Notamacropus eugenii: one gene and its partner. The protein of the gene in region 1 interacts with the protein of each later gene in a pairwise test. Links are inferred from orthologs where the notes say so. Each region holds a gene or a part of one and is shown on either strand. Other genes may lie near its edges.

The links. The genes of interacting proteins can lie anywhere in the genome.
Region 2: the proteins of NIF3L1 (region 1) and DMRTB1 interact in a two-hybrid assay, tested with the Homo sapiens proteins (2 studies listed by BioGRID and IntAct). The two-hybrid records come from large-scale screens. The link is inferred for Notamacropus eugenii from reciprocal best matches to the Homo sapiens genes NIF3L1 and DMRTB1.

What each region holds. Positions count from the first base shown.
Region 1 is NC_092877.1:297,045,594-297,053,072, reverse strand, and holds the start of NIF3L1 (NIF3-like protein 1), read right to left. Parts: upstream 3,055-7,479; 5' UTR 2,920-3,054; exon of another isoform or gene 2,524-2,919; intron 1,966-2,523; exon of another isoform or gene 1,934-1,965; intron 1-1,933. Other genes in the region: PPIL3 (peptidyl-prolyl cis-trans isomerase-like 3), read left to right, coding at 5,772-5,774. UniProt on the Homo sapiens protein: May function as a transcriptional corepressor through its interaction with COPS2, negatively regulating the expression of genes involved in neuronal differentiation.
Region 2 is NC_092873.1:513,648,761-513,656,812, reverse strand, and holds the start of DMRTB1 (doublesex- and mab-3-related transcription factor B1), read right to left. Parts: upstream 3,041-8,052; 5' UTR 2,932-3,040; coding exon 1,980-2,931; intron 261-1,979; coding exon 43-260; intron 1-42.

The sequences.
Region 1 (7,479 bases):
CTTGGTTTCCTTCAAAATACTCAAATGCTACTTTTTGTGGGAGTCTTTTTCTAGTCTCCCCAAATGCTAAAACATTCCCTTCTAAGGTCACCTATCTATTCTTTAAGTATCTTGAAAATAGCCTTTTTTTCTTTTAACATGTCTCCTTTAGAACATAAGTTTGTTAAAGGCAGGGGGACTATTTTGGATTTTCTTTGTATTCCCAGTATATCACAGCACAGTATTGACACATCATAAAGACTTAATAAATGCTTGTTTTAGACATGTTTCATCTGAGCTGGCATCTATGGTACATCTAGTTCCAAGTGCTGAAGCTCAGGAGAGAGACTCATGGCTGTGTATGTACATCTTAGAGTCACTGGCACAGAGGGTAATTAAACTTTTGGTTGCTGATGGAGATCAGTTGAAAACCTAAGAGTCATCCTAGACTCCTCACTATCTTTCCTCGCTGCCACCTCTGCCACCACCTCCCCCCCTTACAAACACATCAATTCTCTTGCTAAGGGTCATCTATTTCACCTTTGCAACATCTGTTGAATACAACCCCCTTCTCTCCTCTGACATTACTAATAATTTGGTACATTTTTATTGCCCCAGATGTGGACTACTGCATGATGGTGGGTCTGCCAGCTTCAAGTTTCTCCTCATTCCAGTCTATCCTCTTCAGCCATTAAAGTGATTTTCCTAAAGTGCAGGTCTGACCACTCTAATGGCTTCCTATTGCCTACAGGACCAAATACAGAATGTTCTGTTTGGCATTCAAATTCCTCCATAATCTGGTCCCCTCCTACCTTTCCAGTCTTCTTACACCTTACTCCCTAACATATGCTTTTCCATCCAGTGACACTGGCCTACTGACTGTTGCATGAATAAGACCCTTCATCTGGAAACTTCCTGTAAAGTTTCTCTGGTTGTCCCCCATGCATGGAATGCTTTCCCTCCTCCACTCTTAACTACTGATTTCCAGGGCTTCCTTTAAATCCCAACTAAAATCCCACCATCTATAGGAAACCTCGAACTCATCTTAATTCTAATGCCTTCCCTCTGTTAATCACTTCCTATTTATTCCATCTACAGCTAGCTTTGTATTTGTTTGCATGCTTTTCCCTCTTTAGACTGTGAGGTCCTTGAGGACAGGGACTGTATTTTGCTTCTTTTTGTATCCTCAGTGTTTAGTACAATGCCTGGCACGAAGTAAGTACTTAATAAGTGTTTACTGATTGATTGAGATACAATGTATCTGTACTTGAAAAGGGTTCAGGACAGAGCCCATCTTAGCAAGATCAATGTCATGAAAATACAAATGAATGAATATATAGGAGAAAAACATGATCAACAGGGAGAGAATGCCGCAGAGGGTGGAAGGATGAGGACTGAGAAAGGCATAAGGTTTTAGTATTATGAGATGATTGTTAACTAGCTTCAGCTGAATATTGAAGTTAGAAGCCAGACTGAAAAGAGTTGAAAAAAAAGAGGAAACGTAAATAGTAGTTGGAGACAACATTCAAGCACTCTAGTTAGAGAGGCAGTTAATTTAATTTAATTCATTCATTCAGGAAGTATTTATTAAATTTTTATTATGAATAAGGGACAATGCTAATTGAGGAAGGAGAGCAGTGATAGGACAAGATATAAAAATGAGTAAGATATTGATGATCACAATTATTACAATATTATGATCACATTATTACAATAATTACAATAATCTAATGTGCACTGGAGAAGGAGGGAATAAGACATTTAGATGTTCAAATATAAGACAAAGTAGAATGTGAAAGCAGTGAAATATAAAAAGCATCGAGTGGAAGAATATAGAAAGCATCAAAAAGTGTCTTTCAGGAAGTTACTTTTCTCCTGAGAGAAAAGCTTAGCGATATGTCCCTGAACACAATAAAAGAACTGCATATTGGTGAAATACCCTCTGATAAATTACCTTGTTTCCTCAGTTGTAATTAATTAATTTCATATCCAATTCCTGACAAGAGGGTAAAGATTCTAAGAATCAGCCATAAAGAACCTTTCCCCTCTTGAGCTATTTGTTAAGTGCTTGATTTCCAGGGACTAAAAACCCCCCCAGCTATTCCTTTTTCTCCTTTAGGAACATGATCTCAAGAGTATGGGTAAACTGATGTTGGGAACTCCCTCCACTGCTGCTGATCTGCAACTTTTTTATAGTATATATATATAGTCTTGTGTGGCCTGGGACGCCGAGATAAAGCGGCTGTTAAATTCAATCATCGTAGCAGTAAGCGCCTAACTTTATGCGAGGCACACGAGCTCAAGCCAGCATGCACTCACTTCACAAATCTTACTCGTTTTATCCACACAACAACCCTGGGATGAGGACGTGATCTGAACTCAGTTCTGCCTCATAAAACAAGTTAGGTGTTAAAGGCAAGGCTTGAACTCGGATCATCCCAAAGCCCACATAAAACCAATAGGGGAAAAAGAACCAAACCGGCATCACTGCGCAACGTCAACAACTTATATTGAATATATACATCTACGCATATCTTAACAAACCAAAAGGCACTTTCGAACCCTCTGAAGCGGTCTCTTCGTCAGGGGCGGCAGCGGCGGCCGCGGTCCCCTGGGCAGTCGTCCCAGCCTTTTGCCTTCCCGGCGTCCTTTCTTAATCAGGTCCGGGCCGAGAAGCCCCTGCCCCTCCCCCCGTAACCTAGGGCAGCTCCTGGCCTCAGTTTAGCCTTTTCTACGAAGAGAAGCTTCGCCTCGAAGGTCTCCTGAAAGTTTTGCAGTTTAGCCTCAGGAGACTAGGAATGGAAGCCTAGGCTGCACCCAAACTCCTACAGGACCCGTCGCCAAGGCCGCAGACAGAACGCGACAGGACAGGAACACCAGACCTGAGCCTCGCTCTCACTACGCCCGCCCACCTGGGAGTCGCTTCCGCTTCCTACTCACGGGCTTCCGCTGCCTTGGGGTCAGAGCGGAAGTGGCCCGTTTCCTTTTGTGCGTCGGCCTTACTCTCTTCCGGTCCGCTCGTTTGGGGTCTAGAATCGCCGTTCGTGTTTGGAAGTGCTGCAGCCGTGAGGTGAACCTAGGGAGGAAGGCTGCGGGTTAGGGACGGAGCGGGGAGAAGAGAGCGGGAGGCCGAGAGGCCTGCGCAGAGGCACAGCGAGGGGAGGAGGAACTTCGTTTTCGTGCCCCTTCCTTCCGCTCGAGACTTGGCCTCTAGTTCCCGCGTTTTAAGCGCGAAGTCTTAGCGTTTGTTCCGTAGCCTGAGGAGGCCGGAGGGAGGTTCCGAGAGCCCGGCTTTCCTGAGTGGGGATGGGTGGGCCACCTCGGGGAGGAGGGCCCTAGGAGAGCGACGACTCCTCCTGCGGTTGGAAGCACTTACTAGTAAGTAGTAACTACCACTACTGTAGCGGAGCACTTGATGGTGGCGCCGTAGTCTCAGCGTCCTGTCACTCTGATTCTCCCGCCTCCATGCCCGTATCGCGGCCGTCAGCACTGCCCGCCTTTCGGCTGGCATTTGAGGACCGAGATGAGTCCTGAGGGCGTGGGCCGGGGCAGCGAGGATTTAGCCAGGCCGCTGTCCCAAGCTTACTCCGTCCTGGGCGCCGGAAGGAGTAGAAACGCATCCCTTTCCTGCCTGTGTTTTACACCGACCTCCGCTGGTGGAACCCTGACCCCCTGGAGTACCAGATATCCCGGAATCATCAAACAAGTAAACAGTGGCTTATCCCAAAAGGACAGTTTGGGAGTGGAAAGGGAAAGAACCGGCGGGGGCGTTCCTTCATTGTAAACAATCACGTGTTTAGGAGTGAGCTGTAGTGGGGATCCAGTCTGGATGAAGGGCTGGTTTTTCTCTACTCCTTTAAAGTCAAACTCGTATTTAGAGAGGTTTTGGTGTATCTGAGGAGCAGTGGTTCTCCCATGTTTTGGTCTCTGGACCCCAAACTGCCTTTAGGTGGGTTATAGCTATTGCTGATATACAGCATTAGAAATTAAAACTGAGAAAATGTTTAAAATATTTCTTGTTTTTAAAGTAATAGTAAAATTATTAGATGTGAATATAATTAACCTTAAAAAATAACTTTTCCAGAACAAGAAAGTATTAGTGAGAAGCATGACCATGTTTTACATTTTTGCATATCCCTTTAGTTTCTGGCTTAATGGAAGGCAGCTGGATCCTTCTGTCTGTTTCTGCATTCAATTTTTTGTAATATGTCTTTTTCAGTTGAAGTATGTGAAGAAAACCCAGTCTCATGCAAATATGTAGTTGGAAAAGGGAGTTTTTTTAAATGGCCTTTCCAGATGTCTTTGATGCTGTACCAAAAGTGGTCACGTGGTAGTTTCTTAAAGGTTAGTGGCAATGAGGAATCTAAAACCACATATGTGACCTTTTGGAACAGTGCTCCGTTAAAATCCATTGGTTGAATCTTATACTTTAAATGGATCTTTTACCCAAGATTTTGTAACACATAAATTGGTCATTTGGAAAGTATTGGTTCAGTAAGGTATGCAGATCTTCTCCATGCTGACCTAGTTCATCATACTATGTAACAAGCTTAAATCATTAATGTCACTGGAGTTAAGAATTGGAAATTTGTCAAGCTCACGGTGGCAGGTGTAAGTACAAATTTCCAGACAAGATATTAACAGTTTTTGCATTTGCAGCTAAACTTTAATTGACAGGTCATGTGGCCTTTGGAAAATACCACTGTATTCTCATGAGTGAATGAGAGGGAAAAAGGCAAATAACATCTTTGTGTTACTATGAAAATAGTTTGATACTGCAAAATCTTTTGAAATGTCATAAGGAACCCCAGGGTCCACAGGACCACATTTGAAATCCTCTGGTATAGTGTATTGAAAGTCAGCCTCTGAAAGACCTGGGTTCAAATCCTGCTGCTGCCATATTGGCTGTGTAACCTTGGGCAAGTCATTTAGCTCCTTGGTGTACCTGGAAACTCTCATACATGGTTTTCTTGGTTTCCTTAAAAATTCAACAGTACCTCCTGCCTGAGGCCTTTCCTGATCCCCATATGTATATATGTTTATACCAGACATCAGATAACTTGGTGGTTAGAGATTTCGCTTCCCTGTGCTGGAAACAGAGAAAGTGCTAACCTGTGTGAATAGAGCTTTTCCTCACCCAGCAATTCCCTAGAGCAGTGAAATAACCGGGCAAGTCCCTTTCCCTGTTCCTACACTTATATGTGCATATGCTATCTTACCCAATAGAATATAAACTTAAGGGCAAGAATTATATCCCCTGAACCTAGCACAGTGCCTAACACATAGTAGGTGCTTAATAAATGCTTTGTGATTAATAAATTGGAGAACAATTATGGATAGAATAGAGGGAATTTCCTCACTTGGAAGCTACTTACACCAAGAGATCACAGACCTGGAACAAAAGAAAATTGATAGGAAAGGAAAGGAAAAGAGATAAAGCAAAATTATTTCCTTTAAAGGGAATCTTTATTAACAGTGGCTTTCTTTGGGGACACATGCACATGTATATGCATAAACACAAACACAACTGGCTCACATAATAAAGCAAATAAAGGAAAGGTGTAGTGGCATTGGCTTTGGAGGATAGCTTTCAAAGCAAGCTCCCTTTCTTGCCTGTGGTCTTTTGTTTGCATCTGCTGCTCTCTCCCTCTAACCATGACCCACTAGAATTGTTGTAAATGTACTGTTTAGATTAAATAGATATATTTGAATAAAATAAGGAATGAAAAGTTTGTAAACTCTTTCCCCTTTTCAGCTTTCTTTCGGACTGCCTGAAATCCTCAAGTAGCAGGATGGTGAGTTTCATAGATTCCTTAAGAAAGTTTTTCTTTCTTTATAACTTTTAACTTAAAAAGTTCAGACGCATTAAAATATTTCTTCTAAAACTAGAACCTTGAAACTAGTAGAATTATAGTCGTTTTAGAGCCTAAGGAGCCTAAATGGAACCTCAGAGGTTATTTAATTCAGCTGGCTTAATCTTACTGGTCTTAGTTTATTTAAACTCTATTTTGTTTTTTTGATAACTGCCTTTGGTATATAATTGAATTGGGCTTTGGAGAAAGACTTCATGCTTTTTAACAGAGCTAGGATAGAAACAGACAAAATGGGCATCTGACTAGGCTTGACACACGAGGAATACTTTTTAATGTTGTTTGCTGTAAATGTGCATATTTTTATTAGAAAATTCCATTCTCCGAGGCATGTAGGCATTTTGTGCAAAGTTAAATTCTGTGTGTTATTTTTAACCTTCTAGCACAGAGTGGTCACAGTTTTTGATCCTCTGGTTATTTCAGAGCATGAGAGTTCCCTTCTATTTTCCCCTATTCTTTAAGCAACATTCATTTTGGCCATTTTTAGGATTTGGCTGTTCTCTTATTTAGGACTTACTTGAATGATTGTGGAAGCTTTGTTTAGCTAGGGGCCCTTTTTGTCATTTCTAGCTCAAAACTTAACACTTTCATCCTTTTGATTTGATTTTGTGACTCTACAGAACTTTAACATGGTCACTGGTCCACTCTTGTGGATAGAGTTTTGAATATCCAGATATTTTCAGCCTACCATGTTCAATGGAATGGCATAATGGTTTATGTATTGCTGATTGTTTTTATAGGGATAAAACTGGCAACTCTAGTTATATATTTTCATGAAAAGTAGATCATTAAAGAGAAGAAAAATGAAAGAATGTGAATGGGGCAAGAATAGAGTGCTTTTAGGCAGTAGCAGTATTTAAACTTTCTATAACTATTTCAATTTTTCCTTAATTTTTTTCCTTTCCAGAATTAAAAAGCTACAAAATATTTATTTATATTTGTAGCAGGTTGGGATAGAAAGAGGGAATTGGAGGGGAAGAAAATATAATAGTAAGTTATAACAATTTTAATTGTGGAGTTTTTGTTTTGGCTCAGATAATTCCAAAGTGGGCCCTGAAGGGGGCGGAAGAATGGTACCTGTATACATGGGGCCCTTCTTCCTCCTGTCTGCTCCTTCAGGCTTTGGGGAAAAGAGGATCAAAAAACATCATGGGGGAGAAGGGAAAGTAGGAAGGTGACTGTGTATTCCCCAAGTAAAACAAATTGGTCAGGAAACATTTATTAAGCACCTATTGTATGTCAGGCACTTTGTTAAGTGAAAAGCTAAAAACAGTCCTGCTCTGAAGAAGCTCATAGTCTGATGGGGAAAGAGATATACAGGATAAATCAGAGATATTCAGCAGGAGGAAGGCATTAGCATTAAGGATGATTGGGAAAGGCTTTTTGTAGAAAGTGGGGTTTTAGCTGGTACTTGAAGGAAGCCAGGAAGCACAGATGGGGAGGGAGAGAATTCTAGGAGTGAGGGTTAGTGAAAATGCCCAGGGCCAGGAGGAGGACGTGTCTCTGAGAAGCATTGGCGAGGCCAGTGTCATCAGGTGGAGGAGCAGAGTGTAAGACAACTGGAAAAGTAAGAAAGGGCCATGTTATGAAAGAGTTTGAACTTTAAACTGAGCAATTTTATTTGATCCTG
Region 2 (8,052 bases), on another chromosome or scaffold:
TCAAATCGGGGGAAACCAGAGAATGCCCGATCCTCTACTCACCAGCAAAGAAGAAGAGGTCCCTGCTCCGTGGTTGCTGGAGACATGGCGGAAGCCCCTCTGGAGGGGTATCCCTGGGGCAGAAGCAGAACCCCGGTAGCTGCCCAGTGGGAATGGGCGGTAGTGGTACATGTTGGCATAACCAGGATACACTTTAGACTGCTCTCTCTCCAGATATTCAGGTCCCATCACGCACTCTGGGGCAATGTTGGAAGGGTGCCCTGGATAAAGACAAGAACAAGGGGAAAGACAAAAAACCCTAGTTACCTACAAATGTAGTGAAGCTCTAAGACACGGGTACTAACTATCCAAGGACAGTGTTCCTAGGGGAAATTCACTTGACACAGAGCCCAAAGTTCGTTTACAAAGCATTTTCCTCCCACTAGATCTTTGAGGCCAAAGCACCCATCACATCAGCCCCCATTTTACAGTCAAGGAAACAAGAGTCCCATCAAAGCCTGGCCCAGGGTAGCTGGGATGGGATTTGAACCCAGGCCTTCTGGTTCCAAGTCCTAGCTTTTCCAGAACATTAGGGGTTGAAATTCCCATGTATGAACTTAATAAACTGATGGCATCACAGACACTCTGGATGGTATTTAGCCTGGCGAATGGATACCCGTGTTACCTAGAGCACGAGGTCGTAGTGGAAAGGGCTTCGTGCGTATCAAAGGTCTGGTACGACTTAAGGCACTGAAGAAAAGCCCCCCTCCCCCACTACTGCGTGGGAATTGTATCAAGTTGAGCGTAGTAGACAGAGCCCGGGAGGGAGGGGGAGGGGAGAGAGGAGGGGGAGGGGGAGAGCAGGAGGAGAAAAGGAGGGGGAGGGGAGAGCAGGAGGAGAAAAGGAGGGAGAGGGGAGAGAAGAGGAGGGGGAGGGGAGAGCAGGAGGAGAAGAGGAGGGGGAGGGGGAAAGGAGGACAAAAGGAGGGGGAGGGGAAGAGGAGGGGGAGGGGGAGAGCAGGAGGAGAAAAGGAAGGGGAGGGGAGAGCAGGAGGAGAAAAGGAGGGGGAGGGGAGAGCAGGAGGAGAAAAGGAAGGGGCGAGGAGGAGAAAAGGAGGGGGAGGGGAGAGCAGGAGGAGAAAAGGAAGGGGCGAGGAGGAGAAAAGGAGGGGGAGGGGAGAGCAGGAGGAGAAGAGGCGGGGGAGGGGGAGAGGAGGACAAAGGGAGGGGGGGGGAGAGGAGGGGGAGGGGGAGAGCAGGAGGACAAAAGGAGGGGGAGGGGGAGAGGAGGACAAAAGGAGGGGGAGGGGGAGAGGAGGGGGAGAGCAGGAGGAGAAGAGGAGGGGGAGGGGGAGAGGAGGACAAAAGGAGGGGGAGGGGAGAGGAGAGGGAGAAGGGAGGGAGGGGAAGCAGCCTACCTACTACAGAGTGACCTCAGGCCTGTTTCCCAGCCTGTAAAACCAGGGGGGGCCGCTACGGTCCGGAACCTCCCCCCCCAATACCACGTTTCCAAAGCCCGGAACTGCACCGAGACACTCGCACTAAATAAACCTGCCGCCCCCCCACGCTTGGGTCCACAAAGCCGCTTTTCCGCCCCCCCCACCTCGGTTCCCCCAGCTTCATCAAGGGCAGGCTCGGTCGGGCGCCCCCCCCCCGGCCCCGCACTGCTCCCCAGGGGACGCCTCGGTCCCTGCCGTCCGGTTCGGGGGAGGGGAGGGCAGACGGCAGACAGCCATCTTTCTAACCCAATCCTCTTTTTAGAAATGGGGAAACTGAGGCCCAGAGTTTGAAGCGGCCGGCCGCAAGGCGGGGAAAGGAGCGTTTTCTGGGGGGATGGAGCGAGGGGGGCCCGGGCCGCTCCCGAGTCACCGCCGGCCCCCTCCCTAAGGCGCAGAAGCGGCCCGCACGGGGCGTCCCTCGCGGTCACTAGGCCTCGCTCCAGCCCCGGCCTCCCCTGCCCTCCGTCCCCAGGGTCCCGCGCTCCCGTCGGGGGTCCTTACCGAAGTCGCCGTAGGGAGGGCTGGCAGAGGCCGAGGTGGAGGCGCTGAGCGGCGGCGGCGGCGGCGGGGGGGGCGGCGGCGGGGCCGGCAGGGGCATGGGCATGGGCAGCGGCAGCGCCCGCCGGGGCCCGGGCTTGAAGCAGCCGTCGAAGCCCCGGGCGCTGCCCCCCGCGGCCACCTCGACCCCGGGGCCGCCCCCGCCGTTGCCCCCGGGGCCCCGCTCGAAGAGCCCCGAGGGCCCCGGCCGGGCGCTCCCGTAGGGGCCTGCGCGGCCGTCGGGGCCGGCGTCCCCGGGCCCGGGCCCGGGCATGGGCAGCGGCATGGGCAGCGGACGGGCGCAGGGCGCGGGCCCCGGGCCCCCGAGCGGCTCGGCGGGCGGCTCGTCGGGCTCGTCGCCGTCGTGCAGCTGCCTCTTGAGCACCTTCTGCGCCGCCATGATCTTCTGGCGCTCCGTGATCAGGTAGCACTTCTCGCAGCTGCACTGCTTCCAGCGGCACTTGCCCACGTGGCCCTTGACGGGCACCAGGAAGCCGTGGTTGCGGCAGCGCGAGCACTTCGGGGTGCGCAGCATCTTGTCGGCCGCCTCCTTGGGGGGCTCCGTCTTCATGGCCCCGTCGCCCGGGCTGGCGGGCGCAGACGGCGGCGGCGGCGGCGTGGAAGGAGGCGGTGCCGTCGGAGGCTCCTGGGACTGGGGCGGGGGCCCCGCGTGCCCCGAGTGGCTACACTTGTAGCAAGGCGGCGCCTCCGCAGACCACTTGCACAGCAGCCCCTTCTTCGGGTGCAGCGGCCCCTGCACCCCGGGAGCCCGCGCAGGGGAGCCCCGCGCCGCCTGCGTGCTCCTCGGGGCCGGGCAGCCCGGGCACGCGCAGGCTCCGGCCTCCTGCTCGGTCAGCGGGGGAAACTGAGGCCCGGCGCGCTCCGCCTCCGCCGCGTCCGGGCCGGAGGAGTGCATCGCGCTCACCTCCAGGCTGCGGGAGCTGGCTGCGGCATGGGGGACGTCCGGGTGGGGGAGGGGAGGGGAGGGGTGGAGCCCTCCTCCCTCTGCCAGTCTGGGCCGCGCATCCCCCTCCCCCACCCTCGGCCCAAGTTAGGAAACCTCTTCCGCCTGGGAGCTCTGGAAGGGCCCGTGAGGCGCGCACCCCAGGGGGCACGGCGGCTGGGCCCGGTGCAGAGGAGCGCGGGTGCAGGCCTCGAACCGCCCCGGCCCTCGCTAGGCTTGCCCCTCCCTGCTGTGTGGGACAGAGGCGTGGCACCAGACGGCCCCCAGGCCCTGCCCAGAGCAGCCCTGGGGCGTCCATCTTGGACCCAGAGAAGCCTTTCCGCCATCGTTACGCCACGAGCACTGAGTAGGCGCCTACGGTGTGCAGGCAGTACACATGCGTGTGTGCATGTACCTGTACGCACAGTCATACGCATGTATGTATAAATAATATGCATGAAAACATACATTTATAAAAATACGTGGCAGAGACGGAGTCGGTAAAGGAGATACAAAACTAAGATTTGCAAAGAGAGGAACGGGGCAGCTCAGGACTGGTTATCCTTTCTTAATTTTTATTATAATGTTTAGATTTAGGTTTATTTCCTCTTCTTTATTTGACTCTGTCCGTCCGTCCCTCCGTCTGTCCCTCCGTCCGTCCGTCCGTCCGTCAAGCCCGCCGAGCGCCCAGGCCTCTCAAGCGTCCGTCCATCCTCGAGCGTTATCCCCGAACATTAAAGGAATTCGAGGTCGAAATCCCTCAGCCCGGCCTGGTCCCGGCGGGAATCCCCAGGCTGAGGCCCGGCCTCGGAGCAGGGGGAGGGGCGGGGGAGGGGTGACGAGGACCCCTGCTGTTACTGGCGCTGACAGGGAGGGGGAGGGGGGCAGTGAGTGACGCTCGGGGTAGTGCTCCAGGAGGGGGGGGCCGGGGAGGGCGTCCGGCGAGAGGCAGCCCCAGGTCGGGCCCTGACCGGGCAGGGGTGTTGAGGGGGAGGCTCTAGGTCACCCCTGGCTGCCTAGCCGAGGGGACAGAGAGGATGGGCACCTTCAAGGGCAGACCCGGCCTCGCAGCATCCCTGAGCCAGGAGGGGGCCCAGAGTCTAGGCCAGCCCCTTTAGCACATCTCCCTTGGTCCTTCCCACGTGATAACAGCCCTCTGGCCTCTGGATTTCTGACTCTTTATCTACACTTTTTCCTTGTACTTCTCACCTTCTGCCTTGCATTACAAGTCCTTGGGTCCTTTATCTTATCCCATTCTTCTACCCCTTACACTGAGCAAGTCTTCCCACCTGCTGAATAAGTATTTCTTGAACTGGATTTTAATTCTTCTCATAGAAGGGTAAAATCAGAAGGTGACTTGGAAATTGGATTCCACCCTTCTTTCACAGATGAAAACTGAAGTGTGGGTAGTTTCATTTTTACCTTTGTAGCTCCAGCTTGTAGCACTCTCCACAAAGTAGCCTCTTGAATATGCTTGTTGACAGATTGATTGGCAAATTTCTCAAAACCTGAAAGTCGGTGCTGGTGGGGCTGCGAAGAAACAGGCATACTCTTTTGTTGCTGGCGGTATTGCAAACTCAGAACCTTTTCAGAATAAAACCTGGCAGTTTATAGGAAAGGTTACAAAAGTAATCATCCCCTTTGACCCAATTGTTTCTTTTTGAAAAATAAAAATAAGAGTCCCAAGATTTCCATGGCAGGACTGTGTGGCCACAAAACCAGAAAACTCCACCTGGAAGCAACCCAGACATGTGACAGTGAGGGAATGAGTGAATACATGGCGGTACCTTGGTGTAATGGGAAACTGTAAGTCAATTACATGTATGAGGATACAAGGAAATAGACAGAGAAACAGAAGAATGAAGTCCGCGTTAATTTCAGTCATCTAAGAGGGAAAGTGAATTAGTATGAATGGAGAAAGAACCCTGATAAAGATCTAGGGGGAGGGAAAGACGGACAAGTCATGATGTTTTACAGGCTGAATTTCACTTATTTAAGTTGCAAAACAAATTTAAGTTATTGCATGCATTGTTTAGGTTAAATATTAAGGGAGAGGAGCCAAACCTGAGATAATATGGATACAGGGAACTCCCAGGTAAGAAAACTCCCTCTACTCATGCAGGTCAGCATTTTCTCTGCAACTGAAGTGTTAGGAAGATGCGCGAATCCCTGAGCATTAAATGACTTGCCTAGGGTCTCACAGCCCCTTTGTGTCAGTCAGAATTTGAACCCAACATCTGAACACATCTTCCTGCTTCCAGTGCCACCTCTCTAACCACCATTTTAGTAAGTCATTTTTCCAAAATGTAAGGAAGAAGGAATTGGATGGTGAGAGAAGAAAGGATTTGCCTTCCCTCGCTACAAATTTCTCCCATGTTGACTCCATGGGTTTCAGGAAAATGTGTCATATGGCGGTGTGAATTTTCATTGCACTTGGAGAGTATTAATGAACAACTAATTAAAAGACTCCAAAATTTCAGGGTCTGAATGGGACTCTGAGCAAGTCACTTCATGCTGTTTGCCTCAGTTTCCTCATCTGTAAAATGAGCTAGAGAAGGAATGGCAAATCACTCCAGCGTCTTTGCCAAGAAAACCCCAAATGGGGTCACACCGAGTCAGACGTGACTGAAAAATGAGTGAGAAACAACAATAAAGTGTTTCACAACCAGCTTTCCCAGCAGCAGGATCTAGTTCTAATGAACCCAGCTCACCCAGTCTCTGACATTCTGAATACCCAACGCGACAGGCTTTGAAATGTCAGTCTACTCCTGTAGGAACCAATAGTGGAGTGGAAACCAGAGGACCTGGGCTTAATTCTATCTTGGGTGCCTTAGATGGGTCTTTTCTCTTTCTGGGCTTTAGTCTCCTTGTCTGGAAAATGAGAAGCCCAGACTAGATGCCCTCTAAGTCCTCCCTAGTGGGACCATTCACAGATATTTTGGAGAACTCTAGGAGGAGTTACTTCGTTTGTGATGGTCACCAGTTAAACCTGGTGTAGAGGTGAGAGCTCCAGAGTTGTGCTACCAGAAGACCTGAAATCAAATCCTGCCCTTGCTCCTTACTAGTTGAGTGACCATGGGCAAGTTCTTTAACCTCTTTTGAAGTCATCCTCTTCAACAAAACAAGTAAAATTGGGGATTCTTCATTTGGGCGTCCAAGATTGATTATTCAGTGTACTGTGTTTAAGCTGAGGGTCAGAGTGGACCAGACCTTGAGAGGTCTTTTTTCCAGCTTCAGAAAGAAAATATGTTACTCCTGAGTCTCTTCAGCTCAACATGTAGAAAAGCTTGTACCTTCATTGTGTCCCTATCCCTAGCTTACCACACCAGAGACTTTGGGAAATTTCCCCTTAGGTGAGATTATGCACTCTCTCTCTGTCTCTCTGTCTCTGTCTCTGTTTCTCTCTGTCTCTCTGTCTCTGTCTCTGTCTCTGTCTGTCTCTCTCTCTCTCTCCCCCCCTCATATCTTTGAACCTCTCTCCCCATGGGACAACTCTTTCATTCTGTGTATTATCTAGCGTACTCTCCTCTGCATAACATCTATAAGTTCTGCCTAATATTGGCTTTAATAGATGAGTTTATTTTCTATCTGCTATGTGTGCTCTCTGTGAAACTGGCATTTGGGAGGAAGGGAGATAAGCCTTGAAGTATAGATGTAGAGCTTGGATGCTTTTCCCCTATTGAAGGATAGGGATCAGAGCACAGCTTGAACCTAAACATTATTTCCCCTAGTATTTAGAGTTATAACTCTAGCCTAGTAACCCTTCTCTAAGGAGAGGAGAGTGGTCAGCCTTGTGGCCCCAATTTCCTATTCCCCTCCTGACAGGAATCAAAGTCTTCCTTAGGGAAGGGTGGGTGGAAAAGACCCCAGAGATATCTATTCACATCTCCCTGAAAGTCACACTAGACAGACTGATGTGGAAACACATAATCTAAATGGGCAACGCACACATGCCCTCCCCTCAGAACAGATGCCCCCTGAGGACAGGGACAGTTTTTCCTTTCTTAGCATCTTTTGCACTACAAGGAAATAAAATAAAGTCAATGAAATATTTCTAAAGTATTTCACAGAAGAGAGCAGCAGAAAGTTCAGAAGGATACAGAAAAGCAAGGCACTATTCAAATTATCATAGATTTGTTTTTTGGTTTTAAAACAAAAGTTTTATAGTTTTCATATTTTAATTTATATTATGTGTTTATAAATATATTTATTAAATGTTATATATAAATAATATATAAATATTGAAAACTATAGTTTTTATAGTTTTCAAGCAAAAGTCACCGTCTGTGACAGATTCAAGGTTTCCTGCTCTTTGTTTATGGAAATGAATGTTTGTTAATGTTCCACAAGTTCACAACAAAAAAAATAAAGTTTTGCAAAAAAAAAAATGCATTTTCTTGCAAGCTGTTTCTTCTTTCACGACATAACTAATATGGAAATAGATTTTATATCATTGCATGTGTAGCCTATATCAGATATGTATGACCTAAATTAACCCTATGATCAAAGTCTCCTTAGGTGAGATCGCGCTCTCTCCCTCTCTCTCTCTCTCCCTCTCTCTGTCTCTCTCTCTCTCTCTGTGTCTCTGTCTCTGTCTCTGTCTCTGTCTCTGTCTCTCCCTCTCTCTGTCTCTCTCTCTCTCTCTTAGTCTTAGTGAGCGGGGAGAGAGAAAATTTGGAGCTCAAAATTTTATAAAGATGAATGTTGAAATTGTCTTTATATATCATTGGAAAAAATAAAATACTATCAATTGGTGAAAAAACCCCAAAATTTTTTAAAAAGAGAAAATTTGCACACACAAAAAAAGCAGATCCCCTCTTGGATTGAAAGGATGGACCCATGTGACCCGCTGAGGGCTTTTTGGTGCCCTGCATCATGTCCCATACTGGCTAAGGAGGGATGATGGGGTTTGACCAAGTAATAAAAATAGTCAGCATTTATGTAGTACCTACGATGTATCAGGCACTATGCTGATAATTTTACAATAGCACTGGGAAGTAGATGCTGCTATTATCCCTGTTTTACAGTTGAGGAAACTGAGGCAAACAGAGGTTTAAGTGTCTTGCCCAAGGTCACATAGCTAGCGTCTAAGGC